Saccharomyces cerevisiae S288C: one gene and its partner. Changing the gene in region 2 together with the main gene of any one other region gives a genetic interaction. Each region holds a gene or a part of one and is shown on either strand. Other genes may lie near its edges.

Evidence for each region.
Region 1: mutations in CTF3 (region 2) and MAD2 together harm fitness more than expected from each alone (negative genetic interaction), as found in Saccharomyces cerevisiae (8 studies listed by BioGRID, with this or other methods).

What each region holds. Positions count from the first base shown.
Region 1 is NC_001142.9:385,615-388,783, forward strand, and holds MAD2 (spindle checkpoint protein MAD2), read left to right. Parts: upstream 1-2,042; coding exon 2,043-2,633; downstream 2,634-3,169. Other genes in the region: RNA-dependent ATPase HCA4, read left to right, coding at 1-535; Rab geranylgeranyltransferase BET4, read right to left, coding at 754-1,734, 1,822-1,824; VPS53 (Vps53p), read right to left, coding at 2,771-3,169. UniProt on the Saccharomyces cerevisiae protein: Central component of the spindle assembly checkpoint which is a feedback control that prevents cells with incompletely assembled spindles from leaving mitosis. Thought to be recruited to unattached kinetochores by MAD1.
Region 2 is NC_001144.5:877,618-881,379, reverse strand, and holds the start of CTF3 (Ctf3p), read right to left. Parts: upstream 1,658-3,762; coding exon 1-1,657. Other genes in the region: CSR1 (Csr1p), read right to left, coding at 1,872-3,098; YLR379W-A (uncharacterized protein), read right to left, coding at 3,664-3,762. UniProt on the Saccharomyces cerevisiae protein: Component of the central kinetochore, which mediates the attachment of the centromere to the mitotic spindle by forming essential interactions between the microtubule-associated outer kinetochore proteins and the centromere-associated inner kinetochore proteins.

The sequences.
Region 1 (3,169 bases), on a different chromosome or scaffold from region 2:
GAAGAAAGCGCTTTCAAAGAAGGCATCTCTGGCCTCCAAGGGTAACGCTAGCAAATTAATATTTGATGATGAAGGCGAAGCCCATCCAGTTTATGAACTTGAAGATGAAGAAGAATTTCATAAGAGAGGTGATGCGGAGGTACAAAAGACAGAATTTTTAACTAAAGAATCTGCAGTAATGGCAGACATTGACAATATTGATAAGCAGGTGGCTAAAGAAAAAAAACAAGAGAAGAAGAGAAAAAGACTAGAAGCCATGAGAAGGGAAATGGAGGCTGCTATGGAAGAAGAAATTTCTGGAGATGAAGAAGAAGGGAAGACAGTAGCATATTTAGGAACAGGAAACTTGAGCGATGATATGAGCGACGGTGATATGCCTGACTCGGAAGGCCACTTGAAAAAGAAAGCTAGAACTGTTGACTATTCCCACGGCCACAATCCATCCAATTCAGTTGATGATGACATTATTGAAGTGGAAGAACCACAAACTTTGGAGGATTTGGAATCTTTGACAGCTAAATTAATCCAGGGTTAAACCCTCCTGCATAGTCTAACCTATAGTATTTAGAACTTGTATACATCTATTCTCTACACTAATATACTTATTTCTTTGTTCAAATCATCGGTAATATTACAATAAAAGAAAAATATGCATATACTTTCGTGCATTGAAGGTGTCAAATGAAATCCCGCTTATAGTGAACAGGCTTCCATCATATATACATATATATATATGTTTATATATGTATATCATCACTTATGCTGCTCCAGGAGATGTAGGTATCTATTCTTTCTTAACGGATCCGCATCTATTAATTGGACCAAATATTGTTCCGAGCTTCTTTCCGTTAGAGCTTCCTTTTCTTCCAGAATATCTTCGAGAACTAATAAAATTTTCAAGCACCAAATATTTTGCTTCCCGGAAAATTCAATTTCGTCATTATTTATTAACAGAATGTTTTCTCTCAAGTCTTTCAACATTTTAAGGTACTCTTGTTCGTCCAGAGTTTTACAAACAATGTCGTTTTTAATGAACCACTTGATATAAAACCATACGGATTGGTCTTCGGCGTCGGTAAACATAGCGTTGATGATATAAGATATTTCAGTCCGAATATACTCCTTTTGATTCCCAACCTCTCCTTTCTGAAACATTCTGCTTATGATCTGTACTCTTTGGTGCCATGCAGAATAATTTGAAATGTTATTGTTAATCTTTATTGTTGTGTATTCAAACTCCTCCTTGTCAAGACTTTTATTAGTGATACTCTCTATGTTACCAACAACTATTCTGCGGTAATGCCATCCGTGGTAATTTCTTGCATCTTGTTCCAATAACTTATTCACGACAGCAAGTTCAGTTTGCCACACTTTAGGGGAACTCGTAGGATAATGTTTCAAGACCCAAAGTCTGTGATTCCATATCCAATAGACTTTGGGGTAATCCTTCAATAGCATCATTACAAAAACTAACTCTTTATCCCAGAAAGGTATTTCCAACTCAGAAGCCAAACTCGCTATAATATCCCTTCTGTAATTCCAAATAGCATTAAATTCCGGATTTTTCTCAAGAAGTTCTGATGTTTTCTTCAGAGCTTCAATTGAGTAAATTTTTTCATCTCTCATATTCAAAACATTTTCAGTCAAGCTTCTATAATCATATATTTTCTTTTCGTCTTGAACTCTCTTTTGTCTCAGTAATTCCTTGGTCCACTGTTTCCTTTTAATGCCATGCTGTTTAATGTGGCAAATATAAAAAATTGCTTGGTAGTCAGTAAAAAAAAGAATTCATAATGTAACGAACATTTGAAGTGCACATACCATTGCTGACCTACTGCTTTATAGTATAAATTCAGTATACTAGGTATATGTGGCTCAAAAATGTGGTTTTTTTCTTTTTTGCCTTTAATTTTTTTCAAATGTTTACGTATGGTTTATGATTTAACATTTCAAGAATAGAAATCGCCCCGAAGAATGATTGATGTTAAATACTCGTACAAGAGTATTGAAAACCACTTCAAAGGGGCCCAATAGCACATTTAATGTCACAATCAATATCACTAAAGGGTTCAACAAGGACAGTTACAGAATTTTTCGAGTACAGCATTAATTCCATTTTGTACCAAAGAGGCGTATACCCAGCAGAAGATTTCGTAACGGTGAAAAAGTACGATCTTACGTTACTAAAGACACATGATGATGAACTGAAAGATTACATTCGGAAAATTCTTCTACAAGTTCACAGGTGGCTTCTTGGTGGAAAATGCAATCAATTAGTATTATGTATTGTAGACAAGGATGAGGGAGAGGTGGTGGAAAGATGGTCCTTCAATGTGCAACACATTTCTGGCAATAGCAACGGGCAGGATGATGTTGTAGATTTAAATACAACACAATCACAAATCAGAGCTTTAATCAGGCAAATCACCTCAAGCGTTACCTTTCTGCCCGAACTAACAAAAGAAGGTGGGTACACATTCACAGTACTTGCATATACAGACGCGGATGCTAAAGTTCCGTTAGAATGGGCCGACTCCAATAGTAAAGAGATACCTGATGGTGAAGTAGTTCAATTCAAAACATTCTCTACCAACGATCATAAAGTTGGTGCGCAGGTCAGCTATAAATATTAATAGAATTCAAGTCAAAAAAAAAAAAAAAGACGGAAGTCCAAAAAAATCTCGTTTTCGATGTTTAGAAAGAATATAGATTTATGAACTATATTATACTATACTACGTACTTCCTCTGTAAACCACTTCATGCGTTTTTTCAAGTGCCTCTGTTAAAGAACCTTGAGTGAGAAACGAAGTCTTTGACACTCAAACTTTGCTTTTTTTGTTCTTCTTTTTGTTGTTGTATTTGAGGGGTGGATACTATCCTCTTCATAACAGGTGGTGATATTTTCAGATCTTGCCTCACAAATTTTGACCAATTCGGATCTTGCATCCTTGCCAAGTTGTTTTCAAATTGACCCAAAAGTACCTTGTCCCACTTGAATATGAAAAGATCGCGATTACTGTCTGGCCTGCTGCCCTCGTCAGTGTCGTCTGTTTCTAAGTTGTAGGCACTCCATAGCTTTTTCCATAATGCCAGGTCCCATGGAATGCCCTTTAAAGCGAGGACAAAAGACCATACCGCTGAATCAGGGTTATTATTGGTCAATTTGGA
Region 2 (3,762 bases):
GCAAAGGATCGTCCGAACTGAACACTTTATTCATGATGTCAGGGCCCACAATCAAATATTGGATCGCATAATCCGACTTCGTTTGTTTCGACAGTTGAGTTAAAATATCTAACGAGCTGATGAAAGCCATCGTAGAAAATCTGTTTGAAGTAGCATTGTTAAAGATTTTGTCCAAAGTTAGCAGGCTTTGCATGTCATGCAGTAGTGTCAACCCGAGTGCTATCAATTTATCATCTAAAACCCAGTTTGTAATCATTTGTAAAACGTAAAAACAAGTTTCAGAAAATGTGCAATTATTGTCGTGACCATCTCGTGTACTCCACATAAAAATACTGGCCATAAACTTAACGAAAAATTCCCTTGTACCACTGATTAGTTCAGGCTTCCATAATGGCAAGATTCCGCCACAAACCTTTTTCAACGTAAGCTCATCGAGTTTTAAGTATTTCAAATTACAAAACGTTTGAATAATGCGAGAAGACAGTTTATTATCCATTGAGGACACCGAAATAATAATGGGAATAACTTCTTGCGGAGTCTCTATCTGATGTGCAAAGCATCGCTTCAATTGCCAAATGCACCATTCGTATGGTGATGACGACTCATCGCGGCTATTTTTAATGAGAATGATACTAGAGTACAAGTGTTTGAGAGAATCCCTAGACATGACTTTTCGCGGCAGTAAAACATTGCTGTTTAAAGATGGCTTCATCATGTAATCTACATCATTGGGAATATGCAATTGTGGCCAGTTTTGAGCTAATTGTTCCAATGAAGTGACATCCCAAAGAGAGACCGTACTGTCAGAGGGAACATATTCTGGAAGTGATTGAAGTCGAAGTGGGTATATAGAATCAGCACCTAATTGATGAATTTCACTCAAGTACATGTCAATTGTGTTTTGGACAGTGTCAGCGGGAAAATTAGCGGGATGTGCTCTGGATAATATTCTTTTCAAAATGGATAGGAAATGCGCATCCAATTTTAAGTTTCGATGACTTTTCAAAGTCTTTCTATTGCAATTGATGGTAATTATTGATTCAGTAATCTGACTGGATGCGCCCACGAGACATTGAAATCGTTGCAAAATAAGCGTCGCACTACCGGGAGCGTCCCGGTAACCTGGATGCATAGCGCATCTCTTGATAATAGACAACTTCCAAGGTTTGACATCAACGGGCGTCGTGGCTTGCCAAATAACCAGGGGAGTTATCCACTTCTGTAAGAACGAGAATTGCCATAAATGTAACCAGATAGAACTGGATATATTGTGTTCTCGTTCTGAATGTACAGGAAATAGGAAATAAACATGCACTAACCATTTGCACAACGCAGATTGTAGGACCGGAGGCGTTTGTATGCGATATCTAGAGAATACCGTTGGCGTACCGAGATGGTTAATAATCTCCAAAAGAAGTTCCTTCGTCAAGTAGCCATCAGGTAAAAAGCAATTTTCGACGATGTACACTTTTGTAACTGTGTCTATTATGGAAGTTTCACAGAGTAACCTTACAAGTGCTTGTAGTTGCGGCGAAGAAAGACCATATTGTTTTGATTTTTCGTATAGCAGGCTTAAAGTGGTTTTAAGGGCCTGTGGTGGCGTTCGTTCGTTAGCATTCGTTAGTGAGAGGATGATATCATCTAGTATAAGACTCATTCATGTAAAAAAAACAAAAATTGAAGGGCGAACCGTATTAGCAGGCGTATTGTTTTTCATTTCATAGTTGATTGTTTTTGATAATAAATGATTCTATAATTTTTCGCGTATTATACAAATAAAAGTAAAAGAAAAATAAGATAGAGGGACATATAAAGAAATAGATGTTTTTATAATAAAGGTCTATACAGTATGGAGCGTCGCGTGGCTTGGCTCAAACTTTTAGAGAACCATTGTAGTCATAAACGGATCTTGATCTGATGTACGGATCTAACTTGGAGTAGTTTTCACAAAGAGCGGTGGAAAGTTGTACTCTTTTCTCCTGCAGTTGAATGTATGCTGGATCGTTCAATGGCTGGTGTTCAATCCATTGGGCAGTGACAGTCAAGAATTGTTCGACCAATTCTTCTCTCTCCTTTTCGATCATAGCGCGAGTCTCGGTGTCTTTCAGATGGACGTCCAAAGAGCCATCTGGTGGAGTGTAATGATCCAAATCATTGTCATTTTCTCCGCCCAGATACCTAGGGATGTATTGGGGTTGGATAAACTTGTGCAATTCGTCGATATTCTTAGTGAAAACAATCTTGGACGCGACGACCGGATCCAGCCAATTCTTGATGATGTTCCAAATCGGGTTAAAGATCCAAGGGGCCTTATGGATAAGTAGATGGCCCAAAGATTCCGGGTAGTGAGCCTCAAAACAAGTGATTAGAAACTTGACGGGGGCATAGTCCATATTGGACATGGAGAACCCGTTCAGATCGAACAAGATGGTGGTGGATGCGGGGTAGTTTTCTTTGAAGAAAAGCTTTGATTGCTCGATGACCAACAGGGAGAATTTTTCCAGCTCCTGTTCAGTTTGGTCGGAAGAATGATGTAATCTAGGTCTCACAAGGATGACTGGCCTCATGTCATTGTCGTAACCCTGGATGGTGGCCTTTTGCAATTCCAGGTTCTTAATGACACCGGTCTCGTTATTCTCATACACAGCTCTTTCGCCACCGTTTATGATCTTGTTAATAGTGTCCTTGCGCCAGTACAAATCGTGACCCAACATGGCGATGGTCTTGTCTGCGTTCCACTTTCTGGCTCTGATAAACTTCAAAATGGTGGCGTCTGGAGTTTCATTCTTGATATCGTGCCAGAACTGCTTCTTGGTCGTTTGCGGGTCTAGATTGGCTAGTGCCTTGTGTATCTTGCCCTTTTCATAGAGGTGTGCCGCTTCAGCGGCTTCGCTGGAGTCCTGTGTATGGTCTGAGGACTGAAGCTTGCTAAACCAGGATGATTTCTTCTTCTTAGCAGGGGTGGACGAGGAGTGGAGGGAGTTATTAGGGAAAATATGAGTTCCATCCACGGGAACTTGCCACAGATGGAAAAGGTGTGTCCAAATTTGCTTAAGGACGACCTCCTGGTCTTCGGTCAACTGTCTATCAAAGGACATAATCTAGTTTATATGTGGTCTTCTTATGTGCTTTTGTGCTTTTATGCTTCTGTGTGCGTACGTATCCGTATATTTGTATGTTTGATTTTGTTTAAAGGAGCGTAAGTGACAAGTGCCAAGATTTAAAGAGCGTACCAAACGCTATTGTTTTCACCATGTGAACAAAGCTGTAACGATTTTATGTACGTACGCAAGAGGACGATGCCGATTGAAGGCAGGAGCTCAACAAACACGAAACAAAACAACGAAGAAAGAAAAGAAATATATCAGAGAACAGAGACCGCCTCGTTTAGGGCCGCACGTATACCGCGCACTCTTGGGACGCAGGGACGCGATGGCCTTGCCATGTGCAAGATAAACAAGCTGTCAACGGCACAAGTAGCGTTTATTTGAGACCTGCTTGCTTTAGCTTGCATCATCTCTTGTTCTTCTTACAGTGGTCGCCTTAGACCATCCCATTAGCCAGTTCATGGCCAACTCTCCGTGTGACATGACGAGTGGTTTTCCCGAGTGGAAAGGTTCAGAAATGCATCTGGATTCCGATGGCATACGGTAATTGCCGGCATTATAACACTGTACTACCGAATCCGTCGTTCGTCACCATATTAATTTTCACTCTTGTTGCAGTTATACCGCTATAAGCAATTGAGCCTGCTGAAAGCTT